3 linked regions of the Neodiprion lecontei genome follow. The protein of the gene in region 1 purifies or fractionates together with the protein of each later gene. This does not show direct contact. Links are inferred from orthologs where the notes say so. Each region holds a gene or a part of one and is shown in the gene's direction. Other genes may lie near its edges.

The links.
Region 2: the proteins of membralin (region 1) and E3 ubiquitin-protein ligase RNF185 purify together in Homo sapiens (affinity purification with mass spectrometry; 3 studies listed by BioGRID and IntAct, counting the BioPlex papers as one, with this or other methods). This does not show direct contact. The link is inferred for Neodiprion lecontei from reciprocal best matches to the Homo sapiens genes TMEM259 and RNF185.
Region 3: the proteins of membralin (region 1) and signal recognition particle receptor subunit beta purify together in Homo sapiens (affinity purification with mass spectrometry; 3 studies listed by BioGRID and IntAct, counting the BioPlex papers as one, with this or other methods). This does not show direct contact. The link is inferred for Neodiprion lecontei from reciprocal best matches to the Homo sapiens genes TMEM259 and SRPRB.

What each region holds. Positions count from the first base shown.
Region 1 is NC_060260.1:40,955,045-40,961,076, reverse strand, and holds the start of membralin, read left to right. Parts: upstream 1-2,195; 5' UTR 2,196-2,730; exon of another isoform or gene 2,731-2,826; intron 2,827-2,911; exon of another isoform or gene 2,912-3,029; intron 3,030-3,314; exon of another isoform or gene 3,315-3,606; intron 3,607-3,659; 5' UTR 3,660-3,957; coding exon 3,958-4,344; intron 4,345-5,239; coding exon 5,240-5,475; intron 5,476-5,618; coding exon 5,619-5,853; intron 5,854-6,032. Other genes in the region: UBX domain-containing protein 6, read left to right, coding at 1-197, 285-580, 660-1,050. UniProt on the Homo sapiens protein: May have a role in the ERAD pathway required for clearance of misfolded proteins in the endoplasmic reticulum (ER). Promotes survival of motor neurons, probably by protecting against ER stress.
Region 2 is NC_060262.1:22,952,066-22,958,373, forward strand, and holds the start of E3 ubiquitin-protein ligase RNF185, read left to right. Parts: upstream 1-2,881; 5' UTR 2,882-2,962; coding exon 2,963-2,974; exon of another isoform or gene 2,975-3,363; intron 3,364-5,832; coding exon 5,833-5,993; intron 5,994-6,308. UniProt on the Homo sapiens protein: E3 ubiquitin-protein ligase that regulates selective mitochondrial autophagy by mediating 'Lys-63'-linked polyubiquitination of BNIP1.
Region 3 is NC_060261.1:37,092,199-37,098,131, forward strand, and holds signal recognition particle receptor subunit beta, read left to right. Parts: upstream 1-2,649; 5' UTR 2,650-2,746; coding exon 2,747-2,846; exon of another isoform or gene 2,847-3,538; coding exon 3,539-3,705; intron 3,706-3,831; coding exon 3,832-3,971; intron 3,972-4,269; coding exon 4,270-4,609; 3' UTR 4,610-4,803; downstream 4,804-5,933. UniProt on the Homo sapiens protein: Component of the signal recognition particle (SRP) complex receptor (SR). Ensures, in conjunction with the SRP complex, the correct targeting of the nascent secretory proteins to the endoplasmic reticulum membrane system.

The sequences.
Region 1 (6,032 bases):
TTCGACAGTTCCTTTACGAGCAGCTCAATTACGAGGAGCCCGGACTCACCGCCTGCCTCATCATTCATAGTTGTAATGCCGGGAAAGAAAAGGTTGAACAGTGTGTCGAAACCATGTGCAAGTACCTTGAAAATATCATCAATAATCCGGGGGAGGAGAAATACTGGAAAATACGAATGTCCAATCGGGTATTTCAGGTGTGTAGAAGGGTTGGAATAACAATGTAAGATACCCGAATCGAATGATTTCTTCGTGAATTTAAGCGATACCTGTTCAATGTGTAGGACAAAGTGAAGCCCGTCGAGGGTGCCTTGCAGCTGTTTAAAGCCGCTGGGTTTGAGATGGTCAAACTAGCGCATCAGGAACAGGAAGAGGACTTCCTGGTTTGGAATCCGGAAAAATCTTCGATCGAGCAAGTCGGTATACTGGTTGATGCTCTGAGGACGGCAGAGCCCGTTCGAATTGAGTTGGACAGAAACTTACAAGTCTTACTGCCCAGTCAGGCAGCGAAAAGAAACGAATTACCTCCAATTTTCTTCACCATATCGCCGGAGGAGATTAAGAAGGAGCATCAGCTCAGGTGCGCCACTATTTTTCTTATTTTGGCTTGAAAATATAGCAGTTGACACGTATTGGCAAAAATTTATTTCATAGCACAGGTCTGAAGCGGTAGCAAAGAGTCAAATTCTCCGTACGAAGGCGATGCGGGAAAAAGAGGAATTGCGAGAAATGAAGAAATACCGTTACGCCTTGATACGGGTGCGTTTCCCGGACGGGGTAATGCTTCAAGGCACCTTCGCGGTTTACGAAAGGGTCGAGAACGTCGTAGAATTTGTCAGAGAGAATTTGATCAGTGACGAGATACCGTTCGTTTTAACAACGCCGACGGGTCATCGTCTCGGGAATGAAGACTATGAAAAGACCTTGGTTGACAACAGACTGGTCCCCGCATCAATACTGAATTTCAGCTGGGATACGGAGATTTTAGATACCAAGGGACCCACCGAATATCTCAAAGAAGAAATTATCTGCCTGATACAGTCCACGTAAGCCTCCTCACCCTAGTCGAGCTATGATTTTATCGTCATCACCTTCCACTCGACAATGGTAAGCACGGACACTCTAGTTTCACACGAAGCGAAGTTTGGAGTCTTTGTTATTGTTCAAGCTATAGAAAAATCAAATTCTAACACATTGGTAGAAAACGATGCAACAAATTAACAAAATTTTCGATTTTGAATGAGTTAATGGGTGACCATTGTGCTCACGGTGCTGATTGATTGTAGACATCGTCGCGTTCCGCCGTCTCACACACGGTTTGGTTCTGTTTTTGATATTCTACAAGACGATGAAACTGAAATCAATACGCAAGGGAAAAAAGAAACTTGAAACTGAATAGATCAATTAAAGACGGAGACAATATTCTCTGCTGTCTGACGTCGAATTATGACATGCTTACGTCTTATTATACCTTTTAATAGAAATGTCCCCCCTAATAATGCGAATAACGGGATGTTTTGCTGAATGATTGCCAGGGGTAAATGCAACACTATGGACATACAGGTATTGTACACTATTGATAGCAAAATATTCTCTTTGTAATTGAATCCATACTTGTTAAAAAAGGAAAAAAAAAAAAGACGATTGGAATAAATATCACGTTTTATTTTCATTTCTGTACTATGTGCTCATCATTTTTTCTTGTACACTTTGTCTCCTACCCAGTTCGGTCAATCGTGTAGAACCAGAGAATTTAGACAGGCTAAAATTTCTTGAGCGTCATTCAAAAGAGTGGTAATTCAATTAGACTACAGTTTAATGTAAGCTGGGATCAAAAATATGAAACATCAAGGAATACTCTTGTTACAAATGGTCTAGATTTATACACCGCTTTTCTTCAACCCATCATTAGACTGCCCACGATATCAACTCGTAAGAACGGCGTAGAAAAGAATTTTATTCAACTTTTTCCACTGATGGGTCTGCATGAATACGAAGTGGGCCAATGTCAAATTCTATTCCACATGTTCGATACTATATCGAGGCACCTTGAAATCATAATCAGCGCGTAAGTCCGCCTTGTCACAGGCAACCACCTCAGACTCAAGGAATAGGTAGCGTCCTCGGTGGGAATTAACGAAACTGTTTCGTCGCAGACCACAGCAGGCTGGTCAGCCACCGGTATTAGTGATAAATTTCAATTGGTGGATGAGAAGAACCCATGAATCGACAACCGTAATCACGATTAGCCAACGGCAAAGTCCGCTTCGATAGAAGTACGTCGCGTCGACGACTTGTCAGAGAGAAAGTAAAATTCTAAAAAGAAGCACCAAAACCACGGGGACTTTTTATCGTGCGATGAAAGGCGGTTGGCAAGGCTGCTGAGAACCGTCTGCGTCGTGTGTCAAAACATATGACGATAAGGCGAGGATTTTGACGAACCTAGAAATTTGTAACAAAAATTTGTACAAACGTCGGCATAGCGGGTAATAAAAACCGACGACATCGAAGGGTCGAAACAGCGAGTTCGTCGAGGGTGCGGCGGACCTCGTCGAGCGAAAATACCTGGCTGGCATAGGGCTGAAAGGTGCGCGGAGGTACGTAGCCTGACTTGACTCAGTTTTCTCGTGTATGTGACGTGTGTGGAGGTAGGTAGATAGGTAGGTGGACAGGTAGATTCATAGGCATCACTTCTCGTCGCACGCTTATCGGAACACACCATTATTGCACGTAAATATTTGTATTTGTAATTTTCCCCCGTTCTTGTCTCACAACCGAGAACTTGTTCGCGCACTTCCTCCGTCTTGGCAAACGACTCGAATTGTCTTCGTTGTACGAAAAGCTGGGAAGACTCGCCGCATGCTGCAGGCAGGTCCGTCCGTGTGACTGGTTCGCTCCGTAGTCCAGGCCGCACGGATCCGTGGTTGACAGTTCGATAGCTGCATGATTAGCGGTATTGAAAATAGCAGAGTCACCCGTGGTCGATGGATGACGATTATTCCGTTGCGATAATTACGTAACTAAGAAACGTACGTTGGTCTTCACTTAGCTATTCAGTGTATCAGCGGCGGCGGGGCTGTCCTATGGTTTTCGTAGGACACCAGCAGCACCAGCTGCACCAGTCTGTTGCTCTTCCGCGTTTCTAAATATTTCATATTACATACCGTTCGTTCGATACTGGAATGCATTGCCGCGGTGTCGTCTAGATGCTTCATCCTCGACTCTATACACCTTCTCGCTCTTTCTCCGCGCTTATTTTTTTTCTCTTCGGTTTCCCATCACGATCAGTCAGTTCTTTTATTGCCTGTTTTCTTTTACAAATACTTTGAAAATTATATCGAAATACGATAACACGTTCTCTCGGGAAAGTGTTAGCACTGCAGTTATGTGTACGCGTGTGCGTGCGTTTTGTATCCGTATTTAATACTGCGCTGTCATTGCCACGTGATCGCCGCGATGTGACGAATGGTTTTTTTATTACATTTTTTAAATATTTGTTTCATTAAAATACCACATTGAAGAATTGAATATTAATCCATTGGCAATCCGAGGAGTTGTGATGTACCTACCGACGATTAACAATGGCCATAATTGTTAAACGATAAGGTGAATATATGATTTACTTTAGGGAAACATTTCTTTCCCAAACATTGTTTCAGGAGCATCTCGCCGGCGGTGTCCGGAGCTACGCTCCCTACCCCGGATCGTCGGAAATGTTATACCGGACGAAAAAGCGTGCGGGAAACAAGTCAACCCGGTCCTATACGATGATTGGTTGTCGGCTTTGAAAATAATTTAAAAAACGCGACAAAAGACGGGGTCCGAGACGACGACGACGACGACACACTGACAATTATTTTACGCAACGAAAGAATAATAAGAATATCGATAATAATAGAGATAAAAGAAACGATAAGATAAGAGGGTAATAATTACCGAATCGTTTAATATTGCAAAATGTCAGAAATCGACGCAGCACCGCCACCGGAAGTACCGGACAACCCTGAGAGCCGGGTAACTGTTACTCCTTCGACATCATCATCGTCATCATCACCCTCGTCGATAGCTTCGACGGCACCGACACCACCGCCCCTGCCACCTGTTCCACCAGTTAATACCGTCAACGGCATAGTCGGGGCGGATAATAATCACGGACTTGCAGCGGCCATTGGGCCCTTGAATAATAACAATATGAACAGGGCGAGGAACAACAATAATCAAAATCCACTATTCAATGTTCGGGACAGGCTATTTCATGCCCTCTTCATCAAGGCCGCCCTTGCCTACGCCAGAGCCTTCCCCAGACCTATTCGACGATTTATTGAATTTATCGTATTGCTCAAGGTAACTCTCATTATATTAGTACGACATTAACCATTCTATTTCTTTATATAATTTACATGTTTCGAAATTTTTCTTCAACTTCCGAAACTTGCCTTCCGTCTTGTAATGTGGAAATATCTCCATGCCAGTTTCTGAGACATTGTTATTATTATTATTATTTTTAGAGAATATTCCGTAGAAGATGTCCGAATTTGCGTGTACTAAAATGAAAAAACCCACAGCCAAGAGTTTGAACGCACATTTTAATGTTTGCATTCTTCCACTCCGTCGATTTACACATATCTACCAAGAGCAGGTGCAGAGCGCGGTTATACTTATTGGATTGATCTATACGCAGCAGTGATGGCGGTCAAGGGTTTATTCAAAGATGTCTATAAGGGCATCGTTCAAGTAGAATTTCTTAGAACAGAGAAAGTATTTACGAGTAATTCAAAGCACGCGTTAGTTCAGCAAAGGGTCGCGAGATCTCGGAGAAATTGGGCAAATAGCGGCGAACATAACGGAAATTAGAACCAGTACTCGCCGGATTTCTGCTTTGGATAATGTCGTGTGACGGAATTCTAGACGTGCGCAGTTTTTTTTAAATTACTTCATATCGGGTTAGCGGGGAAGAATGCGAATGCAGTTGTTCAAGCAGTAGCGGAGTTGTAATTATAAAACGTTGTAAAGTGGTAACTGCAAATTTACGAAACCTTATTTAAAGTTTGTATTACTTCCCGCGATCTTCAAAAAGATATCGCGAAGATATTTCGAATTCAGTCGAATGCTTCCCCGAATACTTGCTGTTATCAAACGGAGTCCTCCGTTGTTAGATACTTGTTACATCCCGGCGCTATCCCCCGTGCTTGCCTCCGAATGAATTGCAGTTTAAAATTGTTAATTTGTATCGTTTCAGGCAATAACGTCATTTTTCGTGCTGGCATACATCCACATAGTGTTTTCCCGAGCACCAACCAACTGTTTGGAACACATAAGAGACGACTGGCCTCGAGATGGTATTCTGAGAGTTGAGATCCTCAGAAATGGCGCTGAAGATTATACCATAGAAAAGAGTTACGCCAAGGAGGAGAAGTTGAGGCAGGAAAAAGTCGATGACCTCGCTAGCGTATTAGGAATTTTAGCTAGAGATGGGTAGGTCTTCTCCGATATATTTCGAATATATCTCACTATTTAATTGCACAGCATATATTCAAAGAGAAGTAGCGAAAAAAAAATGCAAAATGAATAATAATCGCACGAAGGTTTTTATTCTGATTCCTCTAATATTTGAACAGATCATTTTTGAACATCGAACCTTCGACTGTCGAGGAAGACGCACAGGGAAATGCTGAGGCGGAAAGCGAAAACGTTGCTAAGAATTTCACGCAAACAGACGCCAACGTTGAAATTGGAAGTCTGTCTGTTACTGGCGATGTGCAAAGCCCGAATTTAAGTACAACGAACGCGACGATAAGTCCGCCATTATCAACGAAGCTGTGGGATGGTCCAAGTAATGCGGAACCGCTCGAGGTAATGCGATCAGAATTGAAAACGTAGAATAGGAGAGCAATTTTATTTGATTATGTTTTCAAGTTTCCTGGCATTCCCTAACTAACCGTGTCACACGCTTGATAGCTTTAGAAACATCAAGTTCGTATTTTAAGGTTCTGTTGTATTGAGCAGCCTGGGAAAGATGTATTTTTCAAGTC
Region 2 (6,308 bases), on another chromosome or scaffold:
GCCCTGGTTTTGACCTAATTAGCGTAAAATTATTGCGGCACTTTCTAACCATCGACCTGATCAAAAGTGAAAAAGCACTATGCTGTTATAGTCCTGCATATCAGTGTAATCAATTTTTTTTAAAAACTCCGTAGCAGCTGAACAAAAAAATGATAGTAATAAATATTGTGCAGTAATAATTGTCGCGAAGCGTATGAACAAATTTGCGTCTCAAATATCTAATTGTCACACTAACGACTTGTTAAACTGCACCAGCTCAATGAAATTGTAGTCAATTTCGCTATACATATACTGCGGGTATAAATTACAATCTTATTATAAATGTAGAAATTTTGACGGTAAATTAATTTGTGAAAGTGTCTGAAAGAATGATAGAGTATAGTTATATTGGAAGCTTACCTTTTTGGTATAGATGAATGTGACATTATCGTTACTGTGAAAGACGATATATGGAGCTTTCTCAGTAAGCGCGTTATTCGTACATTTCTCGGGAAATTTATTTGAATTGGTATTCTAGGCTGGAAATTTGAAAAAATCAATTTTTTAGGCATCTTATTATAGCTACATCATTTAAGAATATTTTAGCCCGAAGCCGGTGCGGTTCAATAGAGCAGAGTTCGAGGCTAGAAAGATCAGTCTATGAAGAAACTGTGACTAGCAAGAACCGAAAACTTTAAACGCATTTATCTCGAAATTACATTTTTCGACCTGGTTGACATGAAATCGCAAGTTCTATCCACCCGATTGACTTGAAATTTGGTACGAACCTTCAGATACATCCCTCTATAGTACCTACCACGGGCAATCACTTCAAAAAATTGAAGACAACGAAAAAAAATAGGGAAAAAATTAATTTTACCTTTAAATAAATGCCATTTTTGTATTTTCTGTTTTTTTTTCCTTTCGGTACAGGCTATAGCGAAATTCTTACTGATCAAGTGGTTTTACTGTTTTATGTGAATTAGGACTATGGAATCGTGTCAACCGGCCCATCTATTTTTTTTGTCACGGCTCTATTTAGAGGCCCATAACTTTTTGAATTTTTTTTTTCACAAACACTCAACTGTAAGTTCTTCAATCACCAATAAAAAGAGCGTGAAAAAAATGGGTGCTAAAATAATTTTCATTCTTTTTTACACCAAGCCCAATAAAATGCCCGAAAACTAGACCTTTAGACTAGAATACCCCCTTAATTGATGTATGTATTATGGATGGGGGACAGTCCACATTTCATTGTAATATTTTCAGGGATAGCTGCACGGTCAAATATCAGAAGTTATTCGCCATAAAATCTTTCTTGGACAGAAGTAGAGGTATTCACGAACTCGGCAGTGCCAAAGAGATAAAAAAAAAAAGCGGTGCAAATTCAAATACCGATGAATTGCTAAGTACACAAAGGATCAAGCACAAGAGTCAGAAAAAAACTAGACGACGAGCAAGTAATTGAAATTATCAGGGACATCAGCCAAGGAAAAATTAAAACTGTTGCATATTGCTATTTGCAGACTAATTGAAACACCTTCCTGGAACGAAGCACGTTACATACTAGCTTTAGTCAACGATTATTCAAAAAACGTTTTCCCTACTGAAAATGGTCAAGTATTAAATTATAAAACATAATGACTGAAATTCACGTGTAATTTGATACATGATTTATTTTGTAAATTTGTTAAAATAAATAAAAATCTCATAATAAATTACAAAAGCACGAATCGTCAGATATAATAAATCAAAAATCATATAGCGAACTGAATAATTTTTATACGATTTTTGATCAATTGTTTGATTTTTTTTCACTTTGGTTCTCAGTCAATAGATTTAACGCTCGAAACATAACAGTGACTCCTCGAACAAACATTCTAGTGTTATTTGCATGAAACAACACGAATCCATATTATATTCTATTTCAGGAAGCAAATGTTTGTTCGAGGAGTCACTGTTATGTTTTAAGCGTTTGATTCCCACTACACGTATTCGTTTTGGAACATCGTTCATACTTCTTCCGTTAACTATACTTGGTAAACATTATGAAAACAATTGATAACATTTTTGAAATATAACTTTGTTTGGGAACAACATAATGATGTTCGAAGTCGTCGGTTTTTCCGCGACAAACGGCATTTAAAAAAATTATTATATGCATAATTATTGAAACTGATTGCCGGGGATTATGTATATACACACAATTGGATTACAAAGAAAATTAAATGAAAAAAAAAAAAAAAGTTGCGAATAGCGAGATACGATCCCGCGACCACCGGATGACGGGCCAGAGAGCTTACCACTGCGCCTCGCGACCATTGAATTATGATTATCGTAGTAAAGTATTTGAACGTGATGGAATATTTCAGTGTGGATTTTCTCGACAACGACAAAGAAGCGCATGTTAATGCTTTGCCACATTACACCTCTGGCCTTGAGCTTTTATTACGCGCAGTATGAATCGAATCTGAATTTCACAATTGGCTTTTACAGAACCCATAGCGCATGCGCAATAACTTTCTGCATTCTGCTTATGGCTTCTGGTTTTGTGTGCTTCGGCCTTAAGGCTGATTTTTCACGTGCAGCAAACAGCTGAATGCAACCGCAGCAAGAATGCTCTGATTGCTCATCAATTCTGGTGGTTATTTTGTCATCATAAAACAACTAGGAAGACACTAGAGTCGGAGAATGGAGATACTACTAGACCGCAGCGAGGCATCTGGGGGCGAACGAGGAGAATAGAGATGCTCGTAACAAGGTCCCTAGATTAGATCGCTTCGCTCGTAACGGAGTCACACGGCGACATTGAAATGAGGTTTTGTTTTTAGACCTGATACAAGACCGCGATGCCACCTATACTAGGGATCAACTTTCATTCTAGTTTCTTCTCCTTCTACTCCATGCTCGGTACTTTACTGTGCTAGTCAAAAAACCTACTGCTAATTGGATCGATCACTTACAGTGAAATTCACTTTTCGAAATGTCAAAATGCGTACGTGTTAATATTCAACATGCAATTATGTGTCATCACCATTACCGAATAAATTAGGACCGGTCTAACCAGTGTTTACAGGATTTGACGATCAAGCACATCGTTTACGTGTTATTCCGAACATCCGTTTCTCATTAAATAACGAAAATTATCTGCCAGATTACAGAACTTGCGCAATTCAAGAGTTCGTATCAGGCAGTCTGCCAAGAACTTTGAAGTGTCTGCGGTGTCAATATCAGTGTTTTCAAACAGTTGGATTTCCATTCACAGTCCGTAAGGTTACTACTTGTCGTAATTTTTAACTCTTCGAATCATTTATTATTTACTAAATCTAATTCGCTAAAACATAACCTCTGCTGATAGATAATTTTTCGTCGCTTTTCATATGGGTAATTTATAGATTTAATTAAATTCTGTCAGTCTTATTTTCAAGATCATCACCTACTCGTTTTCAGTAAATCTTATCAGATTTCGACGTTTTCCTAATCCCAACGTTGCGAATTCATTGTAATATCTGTCATATGTAGAGTCTCTTCTCTTTCATTTTAGCTATTATACTGTAAATATAATTAACTCTACACTCACTCAGTAATCATTGCAGTGGTGTAACATTCCCACCTTTGAAACCACTTTTCTAATCATTATTTTGATGCATAAATATGTAACATCCATTCGTCACCTATAATATTTACCAAATCAAGAGATAATTTAGAGCACCGTTGTAGATTGAATAACTGCTGATCCTTATCTATTTTAGTAAAGAATATCAGATTGAATAAGAAACATAGTCATAGTAATAAAGTAAGGCTTTTTTATCAAGGCAAACCAAAATTAAAAAGAATAGCAGTCTAGTTGCACAAATTATTACGATTGCTGCCTTGAATTTAGTTTTGATAGTACAAGTTTATTCTGAAAGTGCATGCATGTAACTGCAAGCTCTTTTTATCACAATGACATTACCAACTTATACCAAGTTTAAAAATAATCTCATTGTATGTACAACTGATCAAAATTGATAGTTATAGTCGATAAATTTATGATAATACCGATATTTTTCTTACAGGTCATTTGACATTTGCAATAAGTATATTGTCAACATTGTTTTTTATACACATATTTGCAAATTATTATTTATCATCAGTTCTACCCAAGATGGTAAATAAATTATTTATCAAATATTTGGAAAGATAGACTATAAAATTTCAAAGTTCTTCAACGAAGTACATGATGCACACAAATCGAGGTGGATTCTGACCAATTCAAGGCTGCCAGTGTCGTCTGCTATTTATGTTAAATAGTTGGTGGCAGACAACATTGGTGGCCTTGAACAGATCAAAACTCACCTCGCTTTGTGTACATATCTCAAAATGTTAAATACATGGGAATATCAGAAAAAGCGGTAAAAGCTTGGGAATTATTAAGATTTTCTTTGAAAAATAATTTCTTACTTAAAATCCAAGTCATTGTATAAAGCGTTTAGTAAATACGTTAAAATCATTTGCAATGCACATCATTTGAATGTGAAATTGTTTAAATTTCAAACTTTTCAATCGATCTCTTTTCAAGATCATCGCGGACGTTTGTCAGGACAAACAGAAAGACCGGAATTTCTTAAAAAATGTATTTTTTGGACACTAGAGGTCTGAAAACATAGATTCATTGAAATTAAGATAGGTTGTTCTCGATCAAAACCAATATTTCTCTTATATCATTAGAGGTGATGAACAGTAAAAAAGCAATTATAATTCTCAGGGTATCTTCTGCCTCTTAAATTTACCTACCTAAATCCTGGAATTATTTTGGGACATAAATATTGCTTCTTAGGTATGGAAAAGTCTGGAATACTTTTGTTATAATTTATTCTGGAAAAGTTAACATAATACATTTTTGATTGAATAACCACAACATTTCGTTTGCAATTTCCGAAAAAGATTTATATTAATAATTGTGGTTTGCATTGAAATTGACATCATACCAAAAAAATTTATTTGACGTCAAAGGCATATCATGATAAAACAGTATAAAGTACCATGAAATACTATAGTGTGGCTAAGAGCTACCATGAAATATTCGTGAAATATTGTAAAATGGTCGTGAAATATATGAAATACTGTCAAATGGTGTGAAATCCTACGGAAACTCAATGCTATACCTGTATGCTATGAAATGGTTGTAAAATGGTCAGGATGCAACATTGTCACGTAGTTGCCCACACGGTTAAAACTGCAGTCTCATGATGAATTTGTATTTTGAACGCCAATTTCAATCAGCTTGCAGTGCAGTTGATGAGGTGAAAGTTAATATCGGTGTAACAATGTATTTTTTGAAAAACTCATCATATTTCAGGCTTTAGAATTTTCCGAATTCAGGAAATCGTGATAGAACATCGCATACTCAATTATTTATACTTTGTAAATTCAATGTGCTAGATGCCGTGAACCTTACCGTTTCCATATTTTTAACGATAAATATCATTCTGGCCTATATGCCGCTCCAGCAGTCATGTCAAACTGCACAGTGTAACATGATATACATGCGATTGACGGAATAAAATTGAACAATATTATTGTTTGATATTATCATCGAATTTTATGTTCTTCGTTTCTCACCAGATGTCTTTTACTTTTGAATAGAATTTGTTATTAATTGCAAATACTTTTATTTGAAAATTACTGTCATATTACTAAGTGATGGTGAAAATTTGAATTAATTTTGTTGTTCAATATATTAACTTCACAAAAAAACAGTTGATGCTATTCAATGAAACAAGTAAAGGCAGAGTTTATGCCAAAGTATGTTTTTAGATTTCTTTGTAAAGCAGTTTACTAATATAATTCGTTGTTCGCTTTTTCGAAAAGGAGCTAGCTGAGATGAGCACCGCGAAAGAACAGCCCGGGCCGTCGAAGCCTTCGGGGTCAGCGCAGGAGGAAAAAGAAAGGGATGAACGCATGTTCGAGTGCAATATATGTCTGGATACAGCTAAAGATGCTGTGGTCAGCATGTGCGGACATTTATTTTGGTAAACATGAAGATTCATGATAACAAAATCTGTTGTTAGGCTTTGAACAGAGGATAGCCAACATGATACTAAGAAGTCGAAACTCAACAAATGCACATGATACACTGCAAAACTCACCTGTATTAAGATGACATGACATGTAGAATCACGTTCTTGGTAATGACTTCCTTCATTAGAATCTTCTGAAAAAAATAGTATATATGTAACGGAAAAATTGAAATCCTACAGCTAAAATTTGTGATTAAAAAAATAAAGGCAATCCTATGGTCTTACCAAATACCACAATATAGCTCTTTTGTGCTATGATATTTTGAA
Region 3 (5,933 bases), on another chromosome or scaffold:
TAAACGTTCAATTTGTTTGCCAAGTGCAGCGTGGTCTGTCTGTTCCCCGTTATGCCATAAAAGAGCATGGGCAGAAACTCATTAATAAGCAATAATATCCTGTCAATGCATTTCTGATCGATATGGACATCCCGCTGAGTCCGATCTCGCGACTGCAATTGCAGTCTGCTGGCAAAAAATCGTGCGACGAATAAGATTCGGACCGCATGCATGCGAGTATCCCTGGTGATATCGGATCGGCGGTTTCTCAGGGTGCGCAGAATTGACGAAAAAAAAAAAAAAAGAATCTTTTTACAGAATATAATCGCAACGAGAATTTGTCGCATTATGCAACTTTACATCTGCAAGTAAGTTTGGCGCGAGAGCTGCTGCATCTCGATCGGCTCGCTTATTCCCACGGGATCCTGCGAGATCAGAATCCAGATCTCCAAATAACTGCTACCGCCTCTGGAGGACTGTATGTCCGCAGCTTCAACCATATTCCACAGAATCGAGTGTCCCGCAGTCTCTTCGAAAAAGACGTTCACCCACCGCTGTTTGCAAGCGGAGAGAGCATTTCGCGAGTTCATACTACGGCGCCGATATTTTGCAGTGCAATAAATTCGAGAGTCACGCGACTCCGTCGGATGCTGAGATAGCTCGGCAAAATTTGTACTCTCTAGCAATTTTCTTCTCGCGCTTATGTCTGAAAAGATTGTGATACGTATGTTCGAATCCGTAACTTTGAGCTGCTCGCCAAGCAAAGATAATGCGGATATCCCTTTCTTCGATAGCATGAAACTAGAAATTCATTTTTCTTTTCATCGATCGTTAGACACACGGGACCGAAAATGTCTGTTATCACTCGTTTGTCAAGTTCAACTCATGTTGACTTCGTTAAAACTATTTTATACGGGAATAATTTTCTCTCATAGTTGTGGGACTTGACGGAATTGTGATCTTCTAAGTTGTGGAATAATTATACGCCGCCTACCCGTACTGGATACCCTTCATTACCCGAAACCATACACATAGGAGTCGACCAACTTCCCCTCTATTCATCGACTTTCCCTCAGTAAAGGATCCTTTCATCCAATATTTGGCCAGACATCCCCAAGTGGGACATGTGTTTAGAATCACTCAGCGACAGCAGGTGCGACCTGCCTCCCTCGAGTGTAGTACACACATTATAACACTCCACACGTGAATTTACGGGTGGTCCATCCCCAAAAACGTGCGAGCGTTGTGGCGGCGACGGCGGCGGCATGGCAGCAGCAGCAGCAGCAAGACCGTGTGTTTGTTGTCTCCTACCCCTATATACGGCGCAGCAAAGCGGCGAGCAGGCTTGGTGATTGTTTATTTTGCTTTCCAATATTTTTTAGACAGAGGTCTGGTTTTCAAAAGAGCAACGGAACCATGAAGAATGGCCTGCGATACGTGAGTGCCCTGGATAGAATATGCCTGTAACATACGTATAACGGATATGCGACGACGGAGCTGCTGTCCAACAGACACGAATCCACGCTTATGTACATTTCCCAACAGAGACTGAATGAGGCAAATTATTGGGGTAAATAATATTCACACAGAAACTCCCTTTCAATATTCATTCACTAAGGTCCCTCTAATGATGTACGAAAAAGAAAATTCTTGTCTTCTCTAAAATATTATTTGAATACATACATTTATATATATGTATATATATTTCTTATATATATATATATATATATACATAGGCAGTCACATACAGGAATAAACAGCCTGTTCATTGCTGACGAGTACCCGATTTTCATTGTATTTGTTTCTTTTTTAAGAATTGTTTAAAGAACAATAAGACAGCAGTTCCTAACTGTAATCTTATAAAAAGATGAAATAAAAGTAAAATTTAATTATTTGCAATACCACAAACAGTACCGCGCCGTAACGGTAATGCATATGAAATAAAATATTTCAAATTGATCACTGTTTTGGTACATCTTACAGTTGTAATACAAACATATTGTAGAAACAGCAACGCAACTCAATTTCAGACTCATAAAAATTTACATGGAACGGAAGACGATTCAGCTAATTATTAAAGTATACGATCAAACATTCGAATATTCGAAGACCCATCTTGGCAGGCTTGTTATTTCAAGTGTCATTCGAAAATATCAGTTAAATGGTATGTTATTATAACACGAAACGGATTTCGAAAGGTAGCAGTACCATTCGGTATAACGCTTGAACGCACACGATTTCAAGAGTATTATTTGTAACGAAATTCAAACTGTCACATTTGTAACATTTTCGTACCCAGAATGAACTTGCATAATATTTCAATACCATTAGAAAATGGATTTACTGTTCGATTCAATCTATTAAATTAATACGTATGTGTAAGAAAAGGTAAAATTCTGCATTAAAGTATTAAATAAATAAATTTCTTGTTCAGGCTTTCAATATGCACATTTGAATTAAGTAGAGTCCCAGAGTTGGGAAATTTGGATCAGAAGCAAGCTCTATCTGTACATCAAGACGAATCAACCGGGGATTACAGTTAGTCTCTTGGTAACACAGAATTATCGGTAAGGTAAGGATCTGTTTCACCTTCTACGCTCTGCAGTACCAACAGACGCAGAGTATTTTGTTGGATAATGTTGGGTCAGGTTAAATCACGTAGTTGCACATTCTGCCACACGCAAAGCGAGACTCGAGGTGACATTTACACCATATGCACCCACGTTTAGTTCAGTAGTGAAAATATCGCAATTAAACACGGTCCAGGATGGGGAACAAACGTGGAGAGACGCTGACACTCGAGAACAATGAAAACACACAATTTATTGGAATGCTCGTTGCTGTGTTTACCATATTTATCACGCTAGGTATAATATTACATGAAATAGATTAGTCTTAGGTTATGATTTTCGACAAATTATTGTGTTTCGGTGTGCACCGTTCCCGCTAATGCACCGCATTCAATTTACACAAGTACATAACATTTGAACATGTAAACATGCGCATTTTGTTACTAATATTGAAAAATCTCGTTGCTGCACGAATTTATATAATACGATTCGATCTATATATAGACAATTAATCTCAGAGAGATAAGAGTAACAACAATTTTATGCATAATGTATGTACGTGGCATATGGTAAGATGATATATTGGCATTTCTTCCAACAATGCAGGTTGTATCAAGCTAAATTAATATCGTGCCATTAAAAGCATAGATCTCATATTAAAACAATATCATAGAATTTACAATAGTTATAAAATAGTATTAAAATAGTGAATAAAAAGAAAACAACTCTAGCTTCGTGATTGTGTACATAATAACAAAATAGATACATTATTGGAAATTGAAATATCGATTTCTTCCGTAGAGTCAAAAAAGAAATTAACTGTACACAATTTGTAACAAAATTTCTTGTTTACAAATCCACAGTTTTATAACAACGACATCGACTTGAGCAATAATCATGTAAAAATATATATAGTTACATTGTTTTATTCAACCTAACTAATGATCTACATACTTTTAAAAATATGTGGCATCATTTTATTATTTTAGTTGTATTTGCTGTATGGCGTAGGAGAAGATCCGTTGGCCGAAGCCTGATCTTGGCAGGGCTTAGTAACGCTGGAAAAACATTGCTGTACGCTCGGCTCCTTCATTCCAAATATGTCGCGACACACACCTCTGTTAAAGAAAATATCGGGGACGTTACCATCAATAACGTAAATTTGAAACTAGACTTATTTCATGATTGCAATTTTTTCCAGATTTTTAGACTAATGTGCTATGCTGTAAAACATAAAATACTAGACAGAATAAATCTACTCTTCTCTTCTTTTTTTTTTCAGAGCGCTTTGCGAATTGTTGACATTCCTGGTCACGAGCGACTGAGGCAAAAGTTTTTTGACAATTACAAGTCTTCAATAAGAGGATTAGTCTATGTCATTGATTCAGTGACCATACAAAAAGACGTCAGAGATGTTGCCGAGTAAGTACATAGTGAATTACCGTATTGTTCCGAGTACAAGACGGCCCTCAATTCTGAGACAGTATTTCAAGGTAGTTTTTTAGTTACCCGCACATCAGACAACTCCGCATATAAAACAAGGTCAATTTTGGGCAGGTGCTGTCAACGACAAAAAACCTCCGCTTATATTCGGAACAATACGGCATACCATCATTTCCAATTAATTTCTCACGATTATGAATAGACTCCTCTTCAGCATTAATCAACTGTGATAAAACTTCGCCATTCCTGTACAGTTTAAATTTCTTATCTGTTACAGATATTTATATACGCTCCTGTCTGATCCTACGATTCAAAAAAATGGAACCCCCGTGTTAATTTTGTGCAATAAGCAAGATCAAACAACAGCCAAGGGATGCAGTGTGATTAAATCTTTACTTGAAAAAGAAATTAATTTGCTTAGGGTAACAAAAACTAATCAGTTAGAGACTACGGATGCCTCTTCGTCAAATTTTTATCTTGGCAAACAAGGTAAAGATTTTGAGTTTATTCATCTAGGCTCGAAAGTTGATTTTGCTGAAGCCAGTGCATTCGATAAAGATTCTGAGACTTCTGCTGACATTGAACAATTGGATATCTGGCTACAAAAGATAGCTTAGTACTTGAGATCTCATAAATCATGCTTACACCATATCGTTTCATTGGCTGTATCGAATCTACACGATTATTGACACAATATGCACATGGCCATATACGTATTTTGCAACATGAATAATAATTTTTAACTTTTTTTTCTATTCATTATTATATTGCTTTATTTCAGAATACATATTGCGTTTATTACTTAAATACATCATTACTGCCTTTAATTTGATTTGATATAAGTCGTGCTATCTGTAAGTTACAATTTTTACTCTAAAAATAAAAATTAATTACATTTAAAAAAAAGAAAATCATAAAAGAAATAGCGTTACGTTTTTGCAATGGTAAAAACAATGTTGCAACTTTGATGGGGGGATGAGAATCACTTTGTATACTATGCAGAAGACTTGCCTACCTCAAATTTTTTATAGTTTACATGGAAGTTATTCACCTACCAGAATTTTTAACTACCAAGCTTCAAAGCCTTAGCTTACACCAATAAATTATACAAGTATTAAATCTCTACGAGAAATACATAAAAACTAAAATGTTTATTACTTTAAGGAAACTCATAAAACTTTCACTGAATTTTGAAAATCGAAAATTAGTCATCTAAGATCAATAGGGGAAAATCCGAACATCAATTTCCACGTGGTAAGCCGTCCGTCATATTTACAGATGATATCTACTGTTTACCGACGCATGCTGCGACGTTGCCAGATTTACGAACGTCAAGTTGAAGTTTATATTATTGCTTCAATAGCTAAATTATGACCAATTACTGAGCGGTAAAACTTTATTGATTACGGAATACCTTTGAAGTGATGTAGAAGATTCGTATTTACATGACTCAACCCACGGTCAACTCAGCTTACCGCCGTGTTTATGTTTCACGAATAAATGTTACAGACACTAATAGTAAGCCCACGAATGAACCTGCAGTCAGTATTATACACATGTCACGAGTCGTGAAGAGCCCGAGAAGGCACGACTTAATTTTTCCGAACATCCGTGCGCTTTAATTCTTTTCCGAATTAATGAATCAGCCGAAGTATTAAACATGATATCGCATCTTTCGACAAACGTATCAACGCTTCGGCGCGCGACTGCGATCTTGTCTCAAAGCCGACAGTCAGCTGTTCAATACAGTCCAGCTAGATGACAACACACTTTGCAACGTGAATATGATCGATATTCTCGAAAACTTACCGACACGAAGTAAGGTGATGTTCCCTGACATGTTGACACAAAGATTGTTCGAATACCAACTTGAACATGGTAGACAGTGTATTCCCAGTAGGGTCCGTTTTGTCCACAGTCATGTAAACTGGATAAATCTAC